Linked DNA regions of Sus scrofa. The protein of the gene in region 5 interacts with the protein of the main gene of each other region in a pairwise test. Links are inferred from orthologs where the notes say so. Each region holds a gene or a part of one and is shown on either strand. Other genes may lie near its edges. The genes, in order: RNPS1, U2AF2, ZSCAN9, FXR2, SRPK2 and SNIP1.

Evidence for each region.
Region 1: the proteins of SRPK2 (region 5) and RNPS1 interact in binary tests that used the Homo sapiens proteins (3 or more experiments, as listed by UniProt). The link is inferred for Sus scrofa from reciprocal best matches to the Homo sapiens genes SRPK2 and RNPS1.
Region 2: the proteins of SRPK2 (region 5) and U2AF2 interact in binary tests that used the Homo sapiens proteins (3 or more experiments, as listed by UniProt). The link is inferred for Sus scrofa from reciprocal best matches to the Homo sapiens genes SRPK2 and U2AF2.
Region 3: the proteins of SRPK2 (region 5) and ZSCAN9 interact in binary tests that used the Homo sapiens proteins (3 or more experiments, as listed by UniProt). The two-hybrid records come from large-scale screens. The link is inferred for Sus scrofa from reciprocal best matches to the Homo sapiens genes SRPK2 and ZSCAN9.
Region 4: the proteins of SRPK2 (region 5) and FXR2 interact in binary tests that used the Homo sapiens proteins (3 or more experiments, as listed by UniProt). The link is inferred for Sus scrofa from reciprocal best matches to the Homo sapiens genes SRPK2 and FXR2.
Region 6: the proteins of SRPK2 (region 5) and SNIP1 interact in binary tests that used the Homo sapiens proteins (3 or more experiments, as listed by UniProt). The link is inferred for Sus scrofa from reciprocal best matches to the Homo sapiens genes SRPK2 and SNIP1.

Annotation. Positions count from the first base shown.
Region 1 is NC_010445.4:39,737,888-39,741,857, reverse strand, and holds the start of RNPS1 (RNA-binding protein with serine-rich domain 1), read right to left. Parts: upstream 2,801-3,970; 5' UTR 2,493-2,800; coding exon of another isoform or gene 2,491-2,492; 5' UTR 2,101-2,490; exon of another isoform or gene 1,663-2,100; intron 1-1,662. UniProt on the Homo sapiens protein: Part of pre- and post-splicing multiprotein mRNP complexes. Auxiliary component of the splicing-dependent multiprotein exon junction complex (EJC) deposited at splice junction on mRNAs.
Region 2 is NC_010448.4:59,772,761-59,776,989, reverse strand, and holds the start of U2AF2 (U2 small nuclear RNA auxiliary factor 2), read right to left. Parts: upstream 2,801-4,229; coding exon 2,752-2,800; intron 1-2,751. UniProt on the Homo sapiens protein: Plays a role in pre-mRNA splicing and 3'-end processing. By recruiting PRPF19 and the PRP19C/Prp19 complex/NTC/Nineteen complex to the RNA polymerase II C-terminal domain (CTD), and thereby pre-mRNA, may couple transcription to splicing.
Region 3 is NC_010449.5:22,080,640-22,084,874, reverse strand, and holds the start of ZSCAN9 (zinc finger and SCAN domain-containing protein 9), read right to left. Parts: upstream 2,801-4,235; 5' UTR 2,593-2,800; intron 1,305-2,592; 5' UTR 1,233-1,304; coding exon 816-1,232; intron 644-815; coding exon 496-643; intron 1-495. UniProt on the Homo sapiens protein: May be involved in transcriptional regulation.
Region 4 is NC_010454.4:52,900,458-52,904,690, forward strand, and holds the start of FXR2 (fragile X mental retardation syndrome-related protein 2), read right to left. Parts: upstream 2,801-4,233; 5' UTR 2,579-2,800; intron 1-2,578. UniProt on the Homo sapiens protein: mRNA-binding protein that acts as a regulator of mRNAs translation and/or stability, and which is required for adult hippocampal neurogenesis. Specifically binds to AU-rich elements (AREs) in the 3'-UTR of target mRNAs.
Region 5 is NC_010451.4:105,261,890-105,266,046, forward strand, and holds the start of SRPK2 (SRSF protein kinase 2), read right to left. Parts: upstream 2,801-4,157; 5' UTR 2,786-2,800; coding exon 2,659-2,785; intron 2,380-2,658; exon of another isoform or gene 2,226-2,379; coding exon of another isoform or gene 2,210-2,225; intron 2,120-2,209; coding exon 2,065-2,119; intron 1-2,064. UniProt on the Homo sapiens protein: Serine/arginine-rich protein-specific kinase which specifically phosphorylates its substrates at serine residues located in regions rich in arginine/serine dipeptides, known as RS domains and is involved in the phosphorylation of SR splicing factors and the regulation of splicing.
Region 6 is NC_010448.4:93,609,370-93,613,664, reverse strand, and holds the start of SNIP1 (smad nuclear-interacting protein 1), read left to right. Parts: upstream 1-1,495; 5' UTR 1,496-1,588; coding exon 1,589-1,812; intron 1,813-3,508; coding exon 3,509-3,611; intron 3,612-4,295. UniProt on the Homo sapiens protein: Required for pre-mRNA splicing as component of the spliceosome. As a component of the minor spliceosome, involved in the splicing of U12-type introns in pre-mRNAs. Down-regulates NF-kappa-B signaling by competing with RELA for CREBBP/EP300 binding.

The DNA.
Region 1 (3,970 bases), on a different chromosome or scaffold from region 5:
AAACAAACAAACAAACAAAAAAAACCACAAAAAAATCCCCCCAAACAAACCAGCAACAACCACCCCCAACATTTAATACTCAGTGCGAACAAGTGAAATGTCCCCTCTGAACAGTTAAAAAGCATGAGAACAATACATTAAAAAGCAGTCGTTGCAAATATTAAAGATGCATATGCACATGGAAATGTTATGGAGAGGTATACCCGAGACAAAATAAGATGGATGACATAAAGCAAATACAGCAAAGATGTAAATTGTAGACTCTAGGTGGCCCCGGTTATGTGGCTATTTACTGTACAAAAGTTTCCCAACTTTTCTGTGTGTTCACATTTTTTCAAAAATAAAATTGGAGGGAAACAAGCAGACACTGGAATTGACGCAGTTATTGTAAGTGATGGTTCAGCAAAAGGCCTGGACTGCAGTATGTACTCAGTAAATGATCATTAGTAAATACCGTTCAAGAACCAACTACCAGTTCATTGTGGGTCCCGTTTCCTGGGGACTGTTGCCTTTTGTGGTTCCAGTCAAGTTTTGTAGGATTTGCTTGAGTTCTAAGCAGAGATCTTAGGATGTTAGCTTCTACTACTTCCACCTCACCTTCCCCGACAGCCTGTAAGTCACCTGGACGGACACAGCCGACTAATTTGGAGCCTGTTCCTAAGTCTGCAGTGGTGCCAAAATGTTGGATAATCACTGACTCAAGAGTGTCCAGCTTTGGACAATCAAAGAGAATACAAAAGAGAACATCACCTTTGTTGCTCTTTTCCAGGGCTACAGTCTTTTAAAATGCTCAGTCTTAAAATAATACGGTACAGGAGATGTGGACCAGGCAAGCTGGGATAAGTCAGTCCTCAGACACTCATTGAGTCTAACTCAATGGTTAAGAGTGTGGAGTCAGCCTGCTCGGCTTTCGTTCAGAGCTTTGTTGTGTGACCTTGGATAAATCACCTAACCTTTCTAGCCTCAATTTTTCATCAGTCTACGCCTCATAGTTATCAAAGACATAAATCAAACTGACCCATAAAAGAAACTTGGCACCTACTTAAGGCTCAATAAACCTCAGCTAATTTCAGAAGAAAGGCGCTGGAGGCTCTTTCCCCATAAAAACTCCTGACTCTAAATAAAAGTCGCACACAACCTCTGAATGCTCAAGAGAGGATCACCAAGAGCAGTCTGGTCCAACAGAAAGAGTACCCTAACATTTTGCTAACAGGCACGTTTGCAAAAAGTACAAAAGAAACAGATGTAGTTAACTTTTAGTAATGTATTTATCTGACACCCTATACCCCAAATATTATCTTTTCACCAATCAGTATCCAAGTGTGTTAACAAAATATCTACGCCTCCCCATACCAAGTCTTTTAAACACCCCCCTTTGGGCTGGGTATGTTTCAAGTGCCTAATATCCACACGTGGCCAATTACTGAACCAACCTTACTGAACAGATGACAGAGTGCAGATTGCTGGGCCCCACCCCAGGCCTAAAGATCTGCCCTAATGTACTTTGTAAATAAAAATCTAGCAAGTTATTCTTAAAACTCTGGAAAGTTAAGAACCACAGAGTACGTAAACGCTTCGCTGGGCGAGGCCTAGGTGGTAGAAAGCAATGGTTGACGTTCTCTGTTTACACAAGTTCAGGTAACAGCACAGGACTCTGGTTACCTCCCCCATCCTCCGGAAAGTTGCGCAGTCCAACAGCCAGAGAGAGGAGAGAACAACTAGTTAAATCTCGAGTAGCTACCGTTTCAGGTCGTATCTTCAGAGCCCCTTCCCCGCTGAACAGTACGTTTTAGGCATATTCATGCGAAATTACAAAGGCAAAAAGCCACATCTCTTCTCCACTGATATTTAACCTTCCCGTACCCTCCCTCCTGGGGCAAGCCGGGAAACAGAGCTCCAAGGCATTAAGGGCCATATCCCCAAAGATGGGCACCGAGAACGGCACACAGGAGTCCGACAAATGTTCGTGGATTCCATGTTTAAAGCAAGATCTTCAAAAGGAAGGTCAGACGGTCACCCAGGGCACCCCACAAAGCAACTCTGCACCCACCGGCCCCGGGCCCAACGCGACCTCGCCGCCCCCTGTCCGCGTAGACTCACAACTCCCCACTCCAGGCGCCGGGCCGCGAGAGCTTCCAGGGCAGGGCCTGACGTTGCGGGCCTGGGTCTCCTGCCCGGCGAGAGGACCCTGAGGGTGGAGGCCGAGTTCCCGGCTGCTCCGAATTCCGCGGGCCTCCCTGGGCCCGCCGCAGAGAAGACGAAGCGAGGGCGCCCTTCCGCCCGCCGCAGCCCCGACCACTTCCGGGCCGCGGCCTCGGCGCCTCCTACTCAGCTCTCCTCTGGCCACTCTTTCTTCTTAAGAACTACACCGCGCCGCTAGGCCGCCGTTGCCACCGCGGGGCCGGGGAGAGGGCCGGCTTCACGATGCACCCCGCCGACCTTGGCGAGCGGCCCCCGAAGCTCGGATGGGGTCGGATTCCCGCAACTTACATCTTCCCGCCGCCGAGACCTCCTCCCGCTTTCCTCAGCCGCCGAGGCCGGCGCCGCTCTGGCGTCAGGATTAGGGAGCGGGAAGGCGCCGTCGTCCGGCGCGCAGCGATGACGTAGAGCGCCTCAGCCAATGAGCGCGAGCAAGGAGAATGTTAAAGAGCCAAGGTCGTGTGTAGCACCCCGCGTTGGAGCGCGTACTTTGGTTCCCCTCTCGGGAGGGGCGTCTTGGGCCGCCAGGGGCTGGCTGCGCGGCGCATAGGGCGGGCAAACTGGCAGCTTGCTGGGGCTGGGAGGGCCGTGCTGCGTGGTAGCTCGCGGGCCGGCGCGGGGCGGGTTAAGGCGGCCCTGCCCCTCTCCGTGCGCCTGCGTCCTAGGCTCGCCGCGGGCTTGGTGCGGTCCGTGGGCGCTGGGCCTGAGACCCGGAGTTTCGGGCGGCGGGGTTGGGGGAGGAGTGCGCAGGTGCCGCGGCCTCTAGCCGACCGCCGTGGGGACCGGCCGGGCAGAGGGTTCGTGCGGTTAGAAGCCTCTCAGGGAGTGGCCAGGCAGACGCAGCTTTTACTCCAGCGGAACTCGGCCGGGTGGGTAAGACGGGGTAGTGCCGTCAGAAAGGACGGGCAGCAAAAGACAGGGTAGAAGACGAGGTGCAGGAGTCCCCGTCGTGGTTCAGGGGAAACAAGTCTGACTACAGTCCATAAGGACGCCGGTTAGATCCCTGGCCTTAATTAGTGGATTAAGGATCCGGCGTTGCCTATGAGCTGTGATGTAAGGTCGCAGACGCGGCTGGGATCTGGTGTTGCTGTGGCTGTGTCGTAGGCTGGCAGCTGCAGCTCCGATTCGCTCCCTGACCTGGGAACCTCCAAATACCGCACATGCGGCCCTAAAAAGACAATAAATAAATACATTAAAAATTTAAAAAAGAAGGAGTTCCCATTGTGGCTCAGTGGTTAACCAATCTGACTAGGAAGCATGAGGTTGTGGGTTCGATCCCTGACCTTGCTCAGTGGGTTAAGGATCCGGTGTTGCCGTGAGCTGTGGTGTAGGTCGCAGGCGCAGGTCGGATCCTGCATTGCAGTGGCTCTGGCGTAGGCCGGCGGCTACCTCTAGCCTGGGAACCAACATATGCAGCGAGAGAGACCCAAGAAATGGCAAAAAGACAAAAAATAAAATAAAATAAAATAAAAAGAGAAGACTAGGTGCAGAAGTCAAGGCGCCTCTGCGGAGGTGACACTGCAGCTGAGACCCAAGTGGAAGGGTGCCCTCAGCCGAGAGAAGAGCAGGTGCAAAGGCGCAGAGGCTTGCTGGCAGAAGCCGGGGCTAGGAAGGTGGAGTTTAGCATTTGGGGGGAACTTGGAAGGTGTGCAAGATAAGGCGCCAAGGCTTCATCCCGGGGCTGGTGGACGGCGCAGGCGGGGAGGCATTGCCAGAGCCTCCTGGCAACGGCAAGAGGGTGAGGTTTAGAGGCCCAGGACCAGGCAGGAGG
Region 2 (4,229 bases), on a different chromosome or scaffold from region 5:
GCTTTTGCCTCACATGTTTTTCTGATGCAATTAAACATAAAACTTTTCACAAGTGAACTCAAACTCCAGAACCACTAAAAGACAGAAAAACACGCACCTTGGAAAACAGAAAAAAAAATTCCAGCCAACACTGCAATGGTACCTAAGACTAGATCCTGTGCTAGCTCTACTTGAACTTAATCTTGTTACCTTGGGGAGACACTGCTAGAGGCTCACCTGACAGATGGGAAAACTGAGGCTCAGGGAGGTCATGTGACTTGCCCCTGGCCAAAAAGCAAGGAAGTTGTGAACACTGAAATGCCCACAAGTGCAGTTAAGCACTAGGCAATACTCAACATGGGGCAGCCAGAACACTCCAGGGTCTGGCGGGAGCCCCTAAAGACAAGCGGTTACCTCCTTGAAGACACAGACTGAACACGAAAAACAAATCCAAGCCTGGAACCAGGAGGCAAGTAGCATGAAGTAGCAGGTAAGCATGACACTGAGGGCCCAGAGGTGTGCTGGCCTGAGGCTCTGGGCCTCTGGCTCCACTCTTGAAAGATGGGCCAACTATAAAAACAGCGTCTTTTGTGGCTTTGGTTCTGAAACAGACAAGCAGGCAGAGAGGAACAGACACAGAGGAAGAAGTGGCGCCTGCTGGGTGCCTGAGACACAGACAAGGAAATTAATTCCCTGGAGACACAGGTGCACAAGGCAGGGACTGAGGCTTGGAGGAGGCTTGGACCACAGAGACAAAGACCCACAGGCACAACGATACTAGGGCAAAGCTTCCCCTTAAAGCAACAGTAGGTTCCCTGCCTCAACCCAAACAGGTCAGGAAGGAAAGGCAGCTGTGGTTACTCAAAACGCTGTGATCACTTTGTTGTGGGAACAACTCCACCAGCCCAAGGGACGTGCCAGTACCAGTGGGGACACCCAAGAGAAACCAAGCAGCACGTGTGCAAGTGCCCCAAGGAAGGTTCATTCAGTTCCATCTAGCAGTCCAGCCTAGGGGCACGTGGTTTTGCAGCCAGACTCAGGATCAGCTTCAGCTCTTCTGTCTACCAACTGCATAAAACCACAAAACAGCAACCGTACCTTCCAACCTCAGTGTTCCCGGTCTTTTAAACGACGCTCATCCCGCCCCAAGTGTGGGACATGGGATAATGACGCTGGGAAAGCACCTCTCCCTGCTGTCCCAACTCTGACACCACCTCTGAGGCAGCTCAGGGCAGCCTCTCCATTACCTTCCTAAGAAATTTCACTAGGGATCATTTCACAATACTCCTCGTTAGGCACTTAACGAATGCCAGACCGTATGCCACACACTGTACACACATTACCTCACTTAACCTCAGCTGCAACTCTCACCAGCTAAAACCAAAGAAAGTTTTTCAAGCTTTCTGAGCCTGCTTCCTCCTCTGCAAAGGAAAGGAAGTCATGTCAGTCCCCCACGGCTGTTGACCATCTACTTAAATAAGCCGTGTAAAAGCTTAGCAAAGCACTATCAGTACTGCCATCACCATTGACTCCAGAAACCGGTAATAAAGACACATACCTATTTAACAGCCACTACACACAAGAAAAGGATTAAAAAAAAAAAAAAAAAGCATAGACGTGTTAAAGTTCCACAACTACTTAGCAACAAAGCAGGTACTAGAAGCCAAGTCTCCTCCCCTCCAAAGCCTGTGCTGTGAAGCGTTACAACGTGTACAGACACCCCGTGGGCACTCCGAAACCCGACTTCGTCTTCCCCAGGCGCTGTCTCCTCCTAAACCAGCCACCTGCTCCCAACTGCAGACTGGGCTGAAAGGGGAACCCCAGCGCCCCCCGCCCCCTGTGCAGTCCTCTGACCACAAGGAGCTTAGGCCTCGCGCTCGCCACCTCCTCCAGGCCTAAGTTTGTTCTAACATTCGTGGGGTGTCCAAACTAGTCGGCACTAGCTCGGCCTCCTACTTGGACTCCGCATCACCGGAGGGACTTTGCCTCCCATCCTCCCAACTGAGCTAAGTCTCCCTACTCGCTCCGAGCCTGTCTCTTTATCGCCACGTTGAAAAGGCGGACACACGCGGCGCCCGGAGGGTGGGCTCGTACAGAACAGGGGACCTGTCTAACTGAGGAGATATGGGGGGCAGACACGCCACACTGTGCCTGGCGCGACGGCGCGAGGGAGAACCGCGTGCGGGAGGAACACTGAAAACGCACAGTGCGGACCTCTCCCAGGAGACACCGCATCACCCACGTTAGGCTGGAAGGGACCCCGGCGACTAGCCCCCAGGAAAGGCGCGAAGGGCGGCGGTGCGAGAAGGGCCCACACCGCGGCCCTGCATGCGCCCACGTGAAGGGGGGCTCCAACCGCCATTTTGGAACAAAGGGGGCGTGGAGACACCGGCCGCGGGCCCGGCCGGAAGCGGAAGTGCGAGGGCATCGGGAGAAAAGGAGGGGTTGCGGGACCCAATCTACATAATCTCCTTTCCAAATTAAAAAAATAGAAAATAAGTCCGCAACGGACTCCCGACAGCCTGCGGCGCCCGCGCCACCCGCGCCGGGGGCCACGTGGGGCGCGGAACCGAACGCGGCGCGCATGCGCCCGCCGCCCCCTCCCCTCCCGCGCGGCGGCACGCCGGGCGGTCACGTGAGTAAGGCGCGCACCGCGGGGTGGGGGGGCGCCGTGCGGGCCTAAGGGGGGGAAGCGAGGGGGAAAATGGCGGGGGACACAGGGGGAAGCCGAGAGCCGCCCCGCCCGCCGCCCCGCACCCCCGGCGCCCTCACCTTGCTTATTCTCGTTGAGCTGCCGCTCGAACTCGTCGAAGTCCGACATGCTGAGGCGGCCGCGTAGGGCCCTGTGTAGCTCTCGCCTCGCCTTGCCGCGCGCCCGATCCGGCCGCTTCGGCTACTTCCGCCGCTTGCTTCGGCTACTTCCGGCCGCCGCCGGCGTTCCACCGCCTCCTACCTAATCAAGCCCCTGCCGCCCGCCCAGCCCCGCCCCGGCTCCGCCCCTCTCCCCGCCGGCCCGCCCACGAGGCGCACCTCCCCCCAGGGCCTGGCTCCGAAACGCGTCGGCTATTTCCGGACCGTGGAGGAGCGAAGGGAGAGGCGACTTCGGCTGCTTCCGAAAACACCCGAAGCGAGGGTTTCGCAGGCTTCTCAGGTTTTCGTAACTTTTCGGATAGTAGCTCTTCAACGTTCGGATGTTTCCGTAGGTCCTCGCATTCCTAGCACCCAGACTCCCCACTTAGAATTCAGCTTCTTCCAAGAACTCAAACCGTCCGTCTTTGGCTGCTTCCACGGATTCTACCCTCTCTTTCCCAACGGCCCTGTCCAAGCAATCGGCCACTTCCGACAATCCTAACCGTCCCGGATTTCGGCACTTTCCGAAGGTCTCTGGCGCTCCCCCTCGGGCCCAACCAGAGATTAAACCCGTTTCCAAACTTCGGCTCTTTCCGGAGATTCCAAGAGCAACCTCCTCCCCCTTTCGGAGAACTTCGGCTCCTTCCGCCACCGCCTGGGGAAGGACTCACAGCAGACACCTTCGGCTTTTTCCGTGGGCGCTTCGGCTCCTTCCGGCTCCGGGAACCAAAAAGGGAGGGAGGACAGAGGCGAGGTGGGTCAGGGGAAAGGAAAAGAAGAGGCAGGGTCTCGGCTCTCAGCACCCGGCTCTCCCTGTGGGGCGATGGGAGGAAAAGAAGGACCGATGTTGAGAAGCGCCTAAGAAGGTTTCGCGAGACAAAAGCAGCCAGCGGAGTGAAGAGTGCGCGCGGCTGCTGCGGAGGTTGCCAGCGCGGCTTTGTGCGCATGCGCAAAGTGGAAGGGGCGAGCGCGAGAGAGCCTCTGCGCCTGCGTAGAGATCGGTCTGAACCGAGACCTCTCACTGTTCGGAGAGGGGGGGCGGGTCGTCGGGGCCACAGCCCGAGCGCGCGTGCGCGAGATTTCCTTCCTCCAGGGAAGGGACTACATTCCCGACCGTTGAGCAAGGCCGCCCCCTTGCGGTTGCCGTGGCAACCACACAAGCGAGCGTTCCCCCCCCCAACCGCGCCGACGCTGCTAGCCACGCAGCGGGCACTTCCGGGAGACAGAGAATCTCGCTTTACCGCCTCCTGGAGGCAGTCTCTGTTCAGAGCTCCCCGCTCCCCTCGATGGTCGCCTCTCCCAAAAGTCATTGAGTCCCGCCTTCTGCCGCCTTGCCTCTGGTCCAAGTCGGCTCATGCCTCCTTCCCGGAGTTCTGCTCCTCCGAGTTGTTCAGGGCACA
Region 3 (4,235 bases), on a different chromosome or scaffold from region 5:
GAACCTGTCAAACCTTGAAGTCAGAGTTCCCGCTGTGATGCTGTGGGTTAAGAATCTAACTGCAGGGGCTCGGGTTGCTGCGGAACCGTGGGTTCCATCCTCTGCAGGCACAGTGGGTTAAAGGATCCAACACTGTTCCAGCTGCAGTGTAGGTCGCAGCTCCTGCTTGGATTCAATCCCTGGCCCAGGAACTTTCATATGTTGCTGGTGCGGCCATAAATATTTTAAACAAAAGCAGACAAACAAAAAACCCTGAAGTCCATTCTCTAAAGCTGTTCTTCACAGTGATTCCTGAACCAAGACCAGAGAGTTTCCAGGATGGTACTCAGGGAAAGACTGAGTGCAGGCGAAGGGGACAAGGATGAGCCCACCAGGCAGTCAGAAGCACTGAGCGTTGCTAGTATCTTCTATATCCCTGGTTTCCCAGTTCTGGCTTTTTGGTTTGTGCTCGACCAGGTGGGATATGTTCAACACCAAAGAAATCCTGTCTCTCACCTGTCTCTCCAATGTGTTGGGGCTCCTGAGCAGGGTCACATGTGAGTTGGGGCTCCTTAGGCTGGGACTGGAGGCCCAGTGACATTTGCTCTCCTAGAGACACTGTCCCTTCAGGGAGGACTTCTTGTCCAAGTCTGTAGGCTACCATCTAGAAACAAAGAGACAAGATTTGACTTCTGAAGAAATTATAACTGTTTCCAGAAAGAAACAGAAATCAGGGTCTTATTTAATCACCAAAGTCAAGGGGATACAAAGTGGAGGATCACAAGGGTCCTTGGTGACACCCATAAACCTTTTTCCCTGGTGATCTCCCTTCCTACCTCATGTTGTGGTTCATCGAGCTCTCTCTCCAGATCCTCCAGCAAAATCACTGCCTCCTCCCCACTTTCTGGACAGCGCTCCCTCACCCAGCCCTGGAGCTCCTCGGGCAGGATAGATAGGAACTGCTCCAGCACCAGCAGATCCAGAATCTGCTCCTTCGTGCTCACATGTGGCCTCAACCACTGGTAGCAAAGTTCCCGGAGTCGGGTGAGAGCCTCCCTTGGTCCAGGGGTCTCCTGGTAACAGAGCTGTCGAAAGTGCCTTCGGAAGATCTCCCTTGCCAGTGGGTTATTTCGTTTCAGCCTGGATTCCTGCATTTGGAAGTGACTTTCTGCCTCCACTTTCAGTGTCAGAAGTTCTTCCCAAACCTCAGGAGCTTGAACATCCAGGGATAAAACCTCCTTGGGGTCTGTCATCTTGATCTCGAATAGCTTAAAAGGGACCCACCAGCTGGAGTTATGTTTTAGAAACACCTTTGGAAGTGTCCTCTTAAGCAGTTAAAAAAAAAAAAAAAAAAGAAGAAGAAAGAAAAAAAGAAAAGAAATCCCTGTTTTTGTAGAAAAACAGCAGCAGTTAATTATAGGAACTAATCGTATAAACAATTGTCATAGACTCTAAAGCTCTTCACTGAAAGTAAAGTGACCAAAGGGTGGGGATAATGGAAAATCTACAGACTCATTGTATAAAAGTCAAATTAGAGAAAGAATAAATGGAAAAATGGTTTTATCTTTGACTAAGTGAATGAACTTTTATTGAAGTCTTGAGTTTGTAAAATTAGTCTTTTAAACAATCATTTAAGGTTGGTTTCATTTTCACTAATTCACAGAAAGGAAAATTTAGGGAGATTTCAAGTCCTGTGGGCTTTGCATGCTACTCTGCTGTCTCCTCAGAGTAACAGCCAACGCTGCACAACAGTCTACAACATGCTTTCAGACACATATTTAAGCCTCACAATTACCCTCTGAGGTTTGTTTACAATCACTGTTTCAATAGATAAGAAATGGGGCCGGGGTGGGAGTGGGGGGAGTTAAGCAGGTTGCTTAATGTCAAATTCTTGGTGAGGACAGTCCTAAGAATCCACAGAAGCTCAAGGGAGAAGAAATCTGATACTCGGCGGTTCCTGAGACCCAGGAGGCCGGTGTGTCTCCAAAATGTCCGAAGTGCCTCCCAGCAGCTGAATTCCAGCACCATAGGCCCTTTGGCAGACATCCAGGGAATAGAATCCCAGGACTGGGGGTGGGAGGGGAAGGATAGGGAGCCCTGATTATGTATCTCAGGAATTTGGGTGCTCCTCAGGAATTTGTATGCATTTCAAGGTTTGCGAATCAGTGAACTCAGGGAAAGGGAGCCGGAAAATGTCATATTCTGCACTTGAACCTCGGTCCATTCAACGCCCCTTCAGATGCTTTTAGAACCTAAGCGTATACACAGGGGCTGTCCATGAGGAAGGCTGCAGAACGTCTTAAAAAATATGTGTCCTTAACTTCCTTGTCCCGGAAAATATTTCCCCAACTCCAGGCGTTTCCTGCCCTGTGTCTTAATCCTGCTGCCGTTATTCAGTTATTCACGGTGGGGACCTTCTGCCCTGGCAGCCCCCGCTTAGCCCCCTGCCACGCAACGTCCCTCCAGCCTGGGAGGATCGTTCTGCGATAGGACCCCGGAGCACGACGACGACGACCACCACCACCACCACCACCTCCACCCCTGGCCCCCCGCCCTCCTCGGGGCTGCGAGTCCCTTTCCACCCCACTTCACCCCGGTCCCGGGCCCACTCACTAGGCCTGGAAAAGGCGAGGAGGTAGGGGGCTCCCGCCCTGGCGCTGGCGCGCGCCCGGGAACAAAGGCCCAGCGGGGAAGATGCCCGCCACCGAGGGGCCCTCCGCGCAAGGCACTTCCGGCCGGTCTAGGACTCCGGGTCTCGGTTCCTACCTCCTGCGCGTGCCTCACCTGGAGCCAACCCCCAACTGCCTGGGCCTCCAGTTCGTTTTCCACGGTGACTCACAGAATTTCATACGTGTGTGAGCCCCAAACAGGTTTTAAACTGAAAACACGGCTGAAGCACCGACCATTAATGATTGAAAATGCTTTATTTTTTGAACATTAAAAAAATTAATCCATTACCTATGGTTTTTTATAAAACCTCAGACAATGCCAAAATTAATAAAGTAAAAAGTGAAATCCTACCCTGTTCCTAGTTCCACCGCCCTAAAGGAACCACCATCACCTTTAGCTTGGGATTTGCATGTATAATTATTTCTCTCCCCTCCCCCAATTTTTTGCCACTAAAGCTGTCTGGGTTCTTAGCAGTAATGCAAAATCGGTTCAAAATCAATTAAATTAGCTTCATCGGTGTAAAAGAGCATAATTATAAGTATTGTTAGTCGTTCATCAATTTTTTTATGCCAACCAGGATAGTGGTGTTTTGTAGATTAAACTATGTTTTGCTTTGTTTTAACCTCATTATTATTTTAACGTCGCATCAGTAAAAAAGCATCTTGCATGTTAATGGAGGTACCCTGATGTATTTTTAACTCTAAAACTGTAGCTGTGCAAATACCTTTAGTTGTTTTCTACAGCTTAGCCATGTGAGGGCATTAAATAAACTCAAGCTTTATCCTTTACTTCAGCTTCTTCCAAATATCCAGTAACTGCGTAATCATTTAGAGCACCAGTATAAAGAAAAATTGCCCCAAATCTCAATCACTTTCTCCAACATACCTCACTTGCAAAGCCCTCAGTACAACTTTCCTAAGAACCATGTAATGGGAGTAATTGCTCAATTTCTCTTGTACTTTAAATATGTTACTCTTTTTTTTTTTTTAAATCTTTTTAGGGCCGTACCCGAGACATATGGAAGTTCCCAGGCTAGGGGTCAAATTGGAGCCACAACAACACTGGACCTACACCACAGCTTATGATCCTTAACCCACAAACCCACTGATCGAGGCCAGGGAATGAACCCTCATCCTCAAGGATACTAGTCTGGTTTCTTACTGCTGAGCCGCGGCGGGAACTCCCTACTCTTCCATTTTTGATGTACATCTTTGATAAGTAAACAGTTTTTTTTCTTTAAGTAAACAGTTTTTATACTTATATGAAACTCTCAAATATCTCACTGGCAATTGCTTTGGCTCTGTAACTGGTTTATGTGTGTTAAGTAGGTCAACTATAGCAGCCTGGTTCCATGCTAGGGTCAAGTGGATGTCGTAGTTAAACAGCTTTGAGAAAGACTGGCTCCCATCTGTCTGTTTGGAAGAGGATTCCCCTACAGAGGAGTTTTTTTGTTTTTTTGTTTTTTCTTTTTAGGGCCACACTGGTGGCATATGGAAGTTCCCAGTCTAGGGGTCAAATCAGAGCTGTAGCTGTTGGCCTACGCCAGAGCCACAGCAACACAGGATTCTAGCCGAGTCTGCAATCTA
Region 4 (4,233 bases), on a different chromosome or scaffold from region 5:
AAGATACCTTAAGTTCTGACAGAAGAGGAAGAGTTGATGGGATAGCTATAAGAAAACTCAGATCCCTAATCTGACATTTGCAGTTCTATCCTGGGAGAAGATCAACAACAAGACCCAATTCTGACACCGATGAAAAGAACCTTCCCAAATATATAGTTCCAGAAGCAACGTGAAGACTCCTTGAACCACAGTGAAGTTTGCTGAGTCATGAATATTAAATCAGTAACAAGGTCAGATTGGGTAAGTATCTATATGGCACTGAAAGTTGAAGAAAGCCTAGTCTGAATTTAAGGATCTATTGTTTTCAACTGCAGCGTGGAGCAGAAAATGCTAAGTGGCCAGAACACAAAATCCACATTGCATGGCTTTCAGTTCAACTCCGAACTCTACTCTCAGATTCAAAGCATCCTATCCCCAATTCACTCAATCACAACTATCACTGCCATAGCCCACAGGAAAAAAGGGAAAGATGTAGAGATTTTCTCTTGGACACTTGGATGTGGAAAGGACTTCCCAGCAGTCTCACACAGTTAATTTGAACTGGTTATCAATCTCTCCCGCTGTGCTTGGCTCCTATGCTTCTTAGAACAAAAGCAAACATCATATCTTGATCTCAGACTCAATTTAAGAATCCTTTTTCTTGGGGGTGCAAGGACCCAGATGCAGGACAAGATACTGTGGGAAATAAGGCTAAAATTTATTATTTCAACAAAGGTAATACAAGTTTTGGGGAAAAGGATATAAGAGACAAATGTACTCTATCAGAATCTGAAAGGAATTAAGAGACTTTGCCAAGGGAAACAAATGCAATAGAGGAAGGCTAGAAGAAAAAGTCCCATGAGTTAGGAAAGTATGTAGAAAAAAATGACAGAAGGGATCAGCTGGGAGCTTCCTTCTCCCATTTCAAGAGAGTAATGGAATAGGTAGTTCCTGGGATTACACAGGAATATAGAAATATTAGGATAAAAAAAGCAAGACTTAAATCGAGAGGATAAGATGGACTGTGGGTAACTAAAGGCACTGAAGAATATAAAGAAAAATGGTGAGGAAAGTAAGGCAGAAATAAACAGGCATTTGGACTCAGTTAAAAGATGACTACACTGAACTTACCAAGTGAAGCTGGGGCAGAAACTTTCTACTCCAAGGGCAAATATGAGACCCTTTCCAGTTATAACAAGATATGACTTCACAGGGAAGGAGCTGGAGAAAGTCATTTCCAAGGGCACAAAGCTGGAGACGTCTCTTATAGGAGGAAAAGCTTGGGGGAAATTGAAGGAAAGGGGGGCTCTTCTCCTCAAAAGTGATGTTACAAAAAGGTATCTCTGAGCTTGCTCCTCAGGGTAAAAGAAAGACTAAGACAGGAATCAGGAAAGTCTCTGGAACAATTGCAGGCATAAAGTCCAAAGAGGTTCAAAATAACAAGAGTAAGATCAGTCACATAAAGAAAAATGCCTGAGAGGCAATTGGGGTCTCCCTCTGGCTTAATCTAAGTGGGAAAACCCCTCCTACAAAAAAAAAAAAATGGATTCAGAACAGATAAAGAAGGCGATAATAAAAGGAGTTCTAAAAAACCAAATCCCAGGCAACGGAGGGAGCTGAAATAAGTAAACAATGATCTTTTAAAGATAGTCAGCTGCTCCTAAAAAAAAAAAAAAAAAAAAAAAAAAAGGAAAGAAAGAAAAAAAAAGGCTATCAGATTCCCAAATTGGGTGAGTTGGCTAAAAGTCTTCCAGAAGTGGAAAGAAATGCTTTAAATAAACAGAGAATCCTCATGAGAGCCCCTTTTAGAGATCAGGGCTATGAAGCTCACACTCCTTAGGATGAAACTATCCGAAGGATCTAAATGTATCCGAGGTCAAAGTGAGATGACAAACACAAAACCACCCCTAGGGAGAACGGTAGACCAGCTAATCTTGGAATAAAGGGGTGGGGTGAGAGACTTGTGAAAAGATGCCACCTTATGGCTACGAGGCAACTTGACTGGTACAGCCCAGAGTTCCTGAGGTCAAAGATACTAAATGTCATAAACAGATTCTGACCGTTTCTCCTTGGGTTGGGAACAGAAATATAAGATGAAAGTGGGGTGAGTCTTTCAGAGCCAGTAGGCAGAGGCCTCTCCGAGGAAGATGAAAGGATCTAATATGGGACGGCCTTCCCAAGGGGGCAATAGGGGAGAATAAAGAGAATTCTCCATGTGCTAGGACTGTGGGGAAGACGTGATGAAGATCTAAGGTATGTCTTCTACTAGGAGACAGGAAAAGTCAATGAGACGCTGGGTAAATGGGGTCTCTTCTGGGAGGTGGGGGGGGGGCGCTGATCTAAGCACAATTAATACCCTGATGTTCTTTCCTGAGATGCGGGTGAAGGCAGGCGGAATAGACGGGCCAAACATAAGACGAAGGGGTTTAAGTTCCAGAGGTCTCCCCCCCCACCACCCCGAGGGCTGCGGGTGGGAGCAGGTCTAAGGCTCTAAGGGTCGGGGCTTAGCTCCAGAACCTCAATGCCGCCCCACTCTTCCCCGCTCCGGCTGGAGAGAAGGGGCTGAAGACCCGCGTTCCTGGCCGGCGCGCCGCCTCACCTTGTAGAAGGCCCCGTTGGAGCCGCGCACCTCGACGGGCAGTCCCGGCTCCACATCCCCCCCGAGGCCAGGCCGCCCATGGCGCCGCCACCGCCTCCGACTCCCCCGGCGGCGGCTGCAGCAGCGCTCTGAGTACGGGCCGGGCCAGGTCCCCGGCGTCTCCCCGGAGGAGGAGCCGGAGGGGGAGCCGCGGGGGGCGGGAGCCGGGCCGGCCCCACGGCGGCCCTGCCACAGCCAACGAGCAGGGGGCCGGGGCCGGGCCGCTCCCCGTCCGCCGCCGCCGCCTTGGTCTCCGCCACCGTGAGGGAATCGGCCGCCGCCGCCGCTGCCTTCGTCACCTCAGCTTCCGCCCGCCGCCGCCCCCGCTGCTGCCTCAGTCCCGGGACCCGCTGCTGCCGCTGCCGCTCCACGGCCTCCACCTCCCCCTGCCGCCGCCGCCTACTGCGCAGGCGCACCGGGCACCCGCCCGCCGCGCGCGGGCCCCGAGGGCCACGGCGCAGGCGTCAAGGCTGGCGACCCAGCTCGCGCTCGCCAGCGCACCAGGGCTTCCACACTTCTTTTCACTCTCTCGCGCCCCCTCCTGGTCGCGTACTTGCGCTTGCGCAGAACCAGACTGGCTCTCTTTCTCCGTCCCCCCCACCATTCCACCGCCCCCATCTCTTCCTTTCCCCGCCCCACAACACTGAGAGCTAACCAATCATGGGGAGGGAGGGACCGAGCTCACTCAATCGGATTGGATTTCTGCTGCTCCAGGTCAGACCACACCCCCTTCACCACAGTGCACTCCACCGGGCTTGAACAAGTTAGGGATGGGCATGCGCCTGAATGATTGCTTGGTCACTTTCCCCACCTTTGTCTTTCTTGGTGCGCACGCTCCAAATGGGAAAAAAAAAAAAGTCGAAATGCCCCCCCAAAAAAGAGCCTGGTGCGCATGCGCCGGGTTTTACGGTCCACACGCCAGTCTGGACTCTTCTGATCGCCTGTAACTGTGCGATGAGGTTAAAGTCTTCTTGCCTTAAGAAGATTCTGATCATGCATATGATGAAAGGTTAGAAAAGAATTTCAAGGCAGTACCAAAAGGCAAATGCAACTTAGGTTATTAGCACAAGATTTGAATCTAAGTGTTGAGGATATTCAAAATAGGAAATATTAGTACAGAGAAAGGATGGTAGAGGGAAAACTTTGGATTCTTAAACCAAGGTAAGTAAGAAATTTAGGTAGAAGTGAATAAAATAGCCCAGAAACTAGAATCCTGTGTTGTACAATTAATCATTTAACAAATATTTATTTAGCCCTCCCTGTGTTCCAATTACTGTGTTAAGTGGTAAAGATACAAAGACATAACGTCCCCAAAACAAGGATTTTATAACATATTGAGGAAGAGGCAGGCAGTTAAACAAGTTTAAACAAACAAGCGCATGGAGTCCATCTGAAGATGTGATAAAGGAATACAGTGGTGCAGAGGAGCAGAAAGAACATGTCCTTTGGGGAACCACAACTAGTTCAGAGCGTTTGGCTACACCCTGAAGTACTTGTAAATCAGATTATGGAGAATAGCTCTCTTTTATCAAAACTGGGGAGCCACTGAAAGATCTTAAGCAGTAGTATAATATCCTAAGATTTAGGAGTTCCCATCGTGGCTCAGTGGTTAAGGA
Region 5 (4,157 bases):
GGCGTTGCCGTGAGCTGTGTGGTGTAGGTTGCAGACGCGGCTCGGATCCCGCGTTGCTGTGGCTCTGGCGTAGGCCGGTGGCTACAGCTCCGATTGGACCCCTAGCCTGGGAACCTCCACGTGCCGCAGGAGCGGCCCAAGAAATAGCAAAAAAGACAAAAAAAAAAAAAAAAGGCATGCATTTTTCTTTTTTTGGGGGGGTGTCTTTTTAGGGCTGCACCCACGGCATATGGAAGTTCCCAGGCTAGGGGTCAAATTGGAGCTGTAGTTGCTGGGCTACGCCACAGCAACGCAGAATACGAGCGTGTCTGTGACCTACACCACAGCTCACCGCAACGCAGAATCCCCAACCCACTGACTGAACCTGCATTCTCATGGATACTAGCCGGATTCATTTCCGCTGCGCCACAAGGGTAACTCCCAGCATGTCTTTTTCAACTTCTATTAACTTTTCTGAAAAAAAAAAAAGGGGCTATGCAGGAATAAACTCTTTGAGTTGAAAGTTGTGCTCCAAACCCAACACTCAGGATCCTAAACATTACAGTCCTTACTTATGGGCTTTCCGTCGTTCACCAAAAGAAATGCCTAATGTAAGGTTCTGATTGAGAGCATTAATTTTTAAAGCATCTAAAACTATCAAATATCCATTGCTATTTAACGTTTCGAGAATGTAATACCCAATTTTTACCCACCAGTTCCTTAAGTCCTTAATAAGTACTTCTTCCTCGCTCTAGTAGGTTTTTCTTTCTTTTTTTTTTTTTTAAGGCATTATGATGTTGCTACGACATTTTGTGAAATGCTGAACATACTTTCAAGTTATATTCCGGTTTGAATGAACAAAAATCCTATCACGATACATTACATTAATAGTAAAGACTTAGGCAGTTTTCATAGACGCCACCAATGGGTGTGAAATTCGCTAAGCAGAAATCAAGGCTAATAGGAAGGGGAAAAGCCTAGGAAGGCTGCAGGTTCGTCCCCTAAAGAAAACAAACAAGAAATATTTCGTGATTTTATTTAAAGATGATGATGGGCTATCCCTATAGTAGCAAATTTAACACAGGGTATTTCTTGCTCAAATGGAAGAGGGAAGCCACAAATCTGGGAGAAGGAGTAAAGATGTTGAACGCTGATAGATTCTTCAAAACCAGGAAAGAAAGGGAGAGACACGGCGGCGCTCCGCGGTCCCGAAGCAGCTCTCCAGGAAAGACTTCCCGAGCGCCGGGCGCTCCCACTCCGGTCCGCGGCCAGGCTGGGGGTGGCTGGCGGCTGGCACGTTTTAAATATCACCACCCCGTTCGTCGCCTCCCAGCACAATGAGGGGCTGGGCAGCCGCGCCGAGGACCGCCCGCGCACACGCCCACCGGTCCCGCGCAGCCGGAGACCCGGGCGCAGCCGCCGCGCAGTGAAGGCACGCTCGGCCCGGGCAGAAAGTTTCGGAAAAAAACCCAAGCGCCGAAACGCACAGGTCTCGGAGCTGAACTCGAGCCAGGAACACGCCCGAGGCAAACCACTTGACAACCAGCTCGGGTTTTCAGCTGAAAGGCCGAAAGGTGGGGGCCGGGGAGGAAGAGGAGGAGACACCCAACACACACACACTCTTTCTCACACTCCGTTCCTCTTCCTCTAGGGCCCAGGTGGCCAGGTGGGAGCAACGCCGCAGCCTCACGCCGGCACTCGGCGCGGCGGGGCCGGGCCCGGCCTGCAGACGCCACCGCCCCTCCCAGGAAGGCCCGCGACCCCCGGGACAGCTCGGCGAGCCGGGGACGTTGCGCACGCCCGGCGCCTCCTCGTCCGTCAGCCCCCTGTGCCTTGGGACCCAAGGGGCCGAGGGTCCGGGATGCTCAGCGGGCTGGCCGCGGGCCAGCGCGCCCCTCCCCCGACCGTCAGCCCCTCCCCCCGGGCAGCCCGCGGGGCGCGCTGGAGGCGAGCGCCGGCGTCCCGGGGGATCAGCCCGCCCGCTCGCCCGCCCCGGGGACCCGAGCAACTTTCCCCTGCGCGGCCGCGGGCTACCCCCGACCGGGCAGGGGCGGGGGTCCGGAGACTAGCGCAGCGTGGACTCACTTTTTCGGATGTTTCTCTCTTTTCGGCCTCCGCTTTCGGGCCTGAATGGCCAGCACTGAGGAAAGAGAAGACACACATTAACGGTCGGGCAGACCGGCCTCAGGGGCCGCGTGGCAGGGAAGAGAGGACGCCACGGGCCACTCACCTTTCCGGGAGCTCATCGCGACGCAGCGGAAGCGGGGAGGGGGCTTCGCGGCGGCAGCGGCGTCGGCGGCGGCGACGCGGGAGCCGAGCCGGGATGCAGCCACCACTCGTTCTGCCGGCCAGGAGGAGGCGGGGACCGCGCCTGCGCCGCCGCCGCAGCTGCCGCTCCAGCTGGGGGCCCAGCAAGACCCGCCCCCAGCCGGCCCCGCCCCCGCCCCGCCCCCACCCACCCGGTGGGGTCCAGACCCTCCGCGCTGTCCCTCCCGCGCCACCCGTACCCACCTGCACCCACCCGCCTGACTCACCTGGGCGAAAATGACCCCCCCCCACGTCCACCGCTGCTCCCGCCCCCGCCGCCGTCTGGGCCTTCGGCTCCTGCGCCCCCGCGTTTGGCCCAGGCCTCCTTCCTCTCCCCGGCATAGGGCCACGAGCCATAGCCCCTCTACCTACCCCGGCCCGACGCGCTGCCCGCCTCTCCATGCGCCTTTCCTGGGCCAGCGCCTCCATGGGTCTCACACCACCTCTCCTCGCGCGGCCTCTTTTCCCCCTTTGCTCCTCTACATCCTTGCATCCCCATGAGCGCCGCTCCCTCCTCTCCGGCGAGTGTGTAAAGGGCACAGGACCAAGAGCTGGGAAACCTGGGTCCTTCAATAGCTGTGTGACCTTGGAAAAGTCATCTTATTTCTCACCTTTACCCCAGAGGATTGCTCGAGTGTGATGAAGGAAACGATGCAAATAGCATGGAAGGTTGAATTAAGTGTTTGCACACGAATCAAAGCCCAGCTCTGTAAATACCATAGGTAACAGTTTAATTCAACAACCCACCAAAGGAGTTCTTTCTCCATCTTACGAAGAGGAAACAGTCCTGAAGAGGTTTACCCAGCAATGATTCAAATTTAGGCCTAGCTGACTCCAAACTCACGCATCATGTTTCCTAATCAAGATGACTGTGAGAAAAATAACTGCAGAGGTCCCTTGTTCATTTAAATAATTATATTTCTGAAAGAGATTCATCCTGACCATTTAATCTCAACTGCGCTTTTTTTCTTTTTTTTTCTTTTTAAGGCCATCCAGGGGCATATGGAAGTTCCCAGGCTAGGGGTTGCATCCAAGCCTCATACACAGCCTACACTGCAGCTTACCCCTACAATGGATCCTTAAACCATTGACCAAAGCCAGAGATCAAACCCACATCCTCAGAGACACTATCTCGGGGTTCTTTACCTGCTGAGCCACAACAGGAACTCCATCATCTGTAGTTTTAACTGATCAGAATAGCTGCTCTGAAATATTTATTTTATGGAGTTCCCATCATGGCACAGTGGTTAACGAACCTGACTAGGAACCATGAGGTTGAGGGTTCCATCCCCAGCCTCGCTCAGTGGGTTAAGGATCTGGCGTTGCTGTGAGCTGTGGTCTAGGTTGCAAACGCGGCTCGGATCTGGCATTGCTGTGGCTTAGGCCAACAGCAAAAGCTCTGATTAGACCCCTAGCCTGGGAACCTCCAAATGCCACAGGTGCAGCCCTAGAAAAGACAAAAATAAATAAATAAAATATTTATTTTAAAGATGCTAGTTCCCATCCTGGCTCAGTGGTTAACGAATCCAGCTAGGAACCATGAGGTTGCGGGTTTGATCCTGGCCTTGCTCAGTAGTTAAGGATCCGGCATTGCTGTGAGCTGTGAGCTATGGTGTAGACCGGCGGCTACAGCTCCAATTAGACCCCTAGCCTGGGAACCTCCATATGCCACAGATGTGGGCCTAGAAAAGACCAAAAAAAAAAAAAAAAAAAAAAAAAAGTATGATTATTTTAAAGATGCTAAACCCGCTGGAACAGCACTGCTTGAATCTGAAGAGCTTTTTACTTTCTCAATTTTTTATTTTCAAAAATATCAAACCTACAGAGTTCCGGTTGTAGCTCAGTGGAAACGAATCCGACTAGGAACCATG
Region 6 (4,295 bases), on a different chromosome or scaffold from region 5:
GCTGTGGGACAGGACCTGAGGGTCCAGGCTGCTGGGGGCTGACTTTCAGTAGCCGAGCCTGAGAAGGAAGGACAAGGTGGGACAGGAGGTGATTTAGACACTCAGCTCCACACACTTTGGCAGGCTTTCACCGGGTCACTCGCATACCTCTCCCCCATTCTCAGATCACTCTTCCTCATTAGAAGTTATGTTTCAGAGCTGAAGGAGGCCATGAAGAATCTCTGGTCCCACCCCAACTCAATGCTTCTATCTCCTTGTGCAGATGTTGCTCAGGCCTTTACTTTCTTACCTTTAGAGATGGGGCCAGTCACTATCAGATCTATCCTTGTACACTACCTGGATAGGGCAGGGAGCCCCATCCATCTCTCTGTGACTTTTTTTCCCATCCTAAATCTGCCCTTAGGATCACCCAACATCTGGGCTTCTTGTACCGCTCTCCCACCCTCCTTGCCTGGTCCTAATTCCCTTTATTCCCAGTCACTGCACCCTCTGTCCCTTGGGACTCCCAATCCTCAAGGCAGGGATCTGTCATTCCCCGTGGGAGTTTCCGAGCTCCCCCATCCTGAGACTCCTCCTTACTTTGGGACTCCGTTTCTCCGTGTTGCGGCTCACCAATACCGGGGTATCATACTTGAGCAGAGAGTCGGCGGGGGGGATCATGGCGGCGGCGAGGGTAGCAGCACAGCAGCGACCCTCCTGTCAGGGCAGTGTTTGCCGTCGCCATGGAAACGTCCTTGACATCCTCATGGCCTGGGCGGGGCTTCGAGGCGGGGCGGGGCCAGCAGCTCGAGAGTTTCTTTCTGCTCAACCTTCGAGGAAAGTTCTCCTGCGTTTAGCTTGTCAAGCCTCCTGCTCACCGGGATCGCCTTAGCACTCTTGGAAGCAGGGGAAACTTGAGTTCTGGATCCCTTCGCTGCGTCCAGCTCACGGTTTGAGTAAGGCGCAGATCACTTTCGCTGATCCTGGATTTTGTCACCCGCAAATGGAATCATTTGACTCCTCAGTGAAGGCTGAGGAAGATTCCCAGAGGAAGGCATTTAAAGTTCCCAGGTTTTAAAAAGAGTTTGCCTTTAATGGAGAAATGGCGACGATTTGCCCGGCCGACGATTTGCCCGGGCTACGATCTGTGATTGCATTTCCTTCTCTTCCCCTTTCCTTCGTATTTCCAAACGTAAATGTCATCACAGTCTGCGCACAATTTTGCATCTTGCTTCTTCCATTTAACAAGTCAGACTTTTTTCCATTTGTCGTATAGTTTGTAAATACCATTGCAAATGGTGACATAATCTCTTTTCTACTGCTGGATGTGTAGTTTGTCCCCATGTTTAGTAACTAGTAATAACGCGTCAACAAACAACCTTGAGAGGAGCTTTTTCCCCCCAATTTGTTTTTGAAACCTAAAACTCCCGCCCCACAGAGTCGGGTCCCTAAGGCCCCGCCCACTCGGGATTCTGATCGCGTTATCCGCCGCGAGGGTTTCTGGGAGAGCGCGCACCCGGAAGCGGAAGTCCAGGACTCAAGTCCGTCATTTCCTTCACGGAGAGGAGCGCGACGGTCCTGTTTTTCCTTGGCTCAGCCGTTTCACAGCATGAAGGAGGTGAAGAGCGAGCGGGAGCGGGGAAGTCGGCGAAGGCACCGGGACGGGGACATGGTGGCGGCGGCGACGGTGGTGGTGAAGCAGGAGCGCCTCAGCCCGGAATCCGCGCCTCCTGTCCATCGCCGTCCGGACTCCTCCGGCGGTAGCCCTTCCCCGCTGGCCGGCGAGTCAGGCCGCCCCGGTCACCGCGGGAACCGAGCTCGAGGAGGTAGCCGGTAAGTGGGAAGCAGCCTGGGGTAGACCTGAGGTCGGGCTTTTTGAGAAAGGGGGACAGGGCTGGCACCAGGAGCACACCTTGAATGCTGAGCGCGGCAGCTTGAATTAATCCTAAGGCGATAGAAGTGACCGGTTGTGAGTGTGTTAACGTTTACTCTGATACCTGTTACTTGCGTTATACCTGGGCGTTAAACGCCTAATGCCTGATGGGCAAGTTCTTGCTCCTTCATCTCTGTGTGCTCAGCATTTCTCCGAGTATGGTCCAGCTGATGACAATGATAGTTTATGTTGAAATGAAAGATTTTTCCCACCTGCCTCCAAATGGGGTTATTTTTTCAGTTATCTGCCCCAAGAAGTTTTCATATCCTGAGCCTAGGTGATCTGTCTGATATTCTGGGGGGAAATTGTCTTTTGCGAACAATTTATTCATTCATTCGACATAGTTTTGTCGAGTACTTATTATGTGCTAAAGACCTCATAGGTTATAAAATAATGTGGAAAATAGCTATGTACAATTTTTTAAAATATAAATGTATATGTGGAATTTGAATCAAACTGTAAAATTATACACAGATAAAACTGAAATAAAGAAAATAATGGGAGTTCCCATTGTACCTCAGCAGTAACGAACTGGACTAGTATTCTTGAGGACTATGAGGATGTAGAATTCATCCCTGGCCTCGATCAGTGGGTTCAGGATCCAGCGTTGCCATAAGCTGCATTGTAGGTCGAAGATGCGGCTCTGATCCTGTGTTGCTATGGCTGTGGCGTAGGCCAGCAGCTGTGGCTCTGATTTGACCCCTAGCCTGGGAACTTCCATATGCTAAGGGTGTGGCCCTAAAAAGACAAAAAAAAAAAAAAAAAAAAAAAGGAAGAAAGAAAGAAAAAGAAAAGAAAATATGAGGCAGGCAGGCAGGCCGTCCTGGGTATTGGGGTGGAAAGAATGAGCATGATAGATGATCTCTACCCTGGTGAAACTGAGATGCTCTAGCCCTGAGACAGAATAACAAGGAAATAAAGAAAATAATTTGTTAGTAACAAGTACTAGGGATAGGTTAAGACAGTAATGTCATAGAGAGTGGAGAGAAGTGGTTCTCTGTGAAAAGTCTGCCACTTGACCTGAAACCTGATTGATAAAAATAATCCAGGCTTGTAAAGATCTAATCAGAGAAAACAAGCAGTGCAAAGATCCTGAAGTGGAATTAATTGTGTTCCTTCTAGAAAAGGAGGAGGGGAGGGGATCCGGTATAGTGAGGTGGGTAGGAATGCGGTGGGAGAGAGAAGAGGTAGAGCCTGGAGCCAGAGGACTTGCTGATTGATTGTGAGCGTGTTGGGGAGGAGCATGGGGCCTCTTGGTGGTAAGGGGGAGAAAAAAAAAGAATCTAGGATGACTTCTAGGTTTTTGGCCTGAGGAACGGATGGATAGTGGTATCAGTTACCCTGATGGCAAAGATAGGAAAGTTGAGAGGTGGGAATTTAGCCTTCTCTTATCGAAGTGAGAAGTTTCAATTGGCAGCTACATATGTGGGAGACATTCAGGGCTGAAAAAGTGAAGCTCCTGACTCCTTTAGTGTGATCAGCAGAAGCCTTCACAAATGTGATGTTTGTGTTAGTAGATAGGCCTGATACTTGAAGCTAATTTGTATGAGCGAATGAAAATTGAGATGAAATTTATGTGTACCATTCTCTGAACAGGTCCCCACCGAGAAAGAAAAATAAGTCCTCGGGGAGAAGAAGCAAGTCTCCCCGGAGTAGGAGAAGCCGAAGTCCTCACCACTCAACAGTCAAAGTGAAGCAGGTAAGCGGATTGAGATGTTTTCATACCGGCTCCATCAGAGCTGGAGTGTTGTGTGTGTGTTCACCTCTGCCTGCGGTGGGCTTTTCTAGAAACTGGCTTTTTGGGGTTTTTTTGTCTGCCTGTTTACTTCGTTAAACTAAACCTTTTATTTTGAGATAACTGTTGATTCACCTGCAGTTGTAAGAAAATAATACAGAAGTGGTTGTTTCTCCCATTGGAAGCATTTTACATAATTATAGAACTCTATTCCAACCAGAAAAAATTTTTAAGGGAAAAGTGGTTTTTGTTTTTAATTAAAGTATAGTTTAATGATAGTTCCCTCTGGTGTACAGTAGGTCCTTGTTGATTATCTATTCACAACCAAAATATTGACATCAATACAGTTAACATGCAAAACCTTTCCATCACCACAAGATCCCTCATATAGTCCTTTTGTAGTCATATTCATTTCCTTCGCACCCTTAGCCCTCAATTCCTGGCAGCTTCTCATCTCGTTTCCATTTTGTAATTTTGTCATTTCACAAATATTATGTAAATGAAATCATACAGTATGCAGTCTTATGGGATTGGCTTTTTTCCATTCTGCAAAATTCTTTGCAGATGCATTTAGATTATTGCATCTCTGTAGTTCATTCTTTTTATTGCCGAATGATATTCACTGGTATGGGTTTAACCATTTTCCCA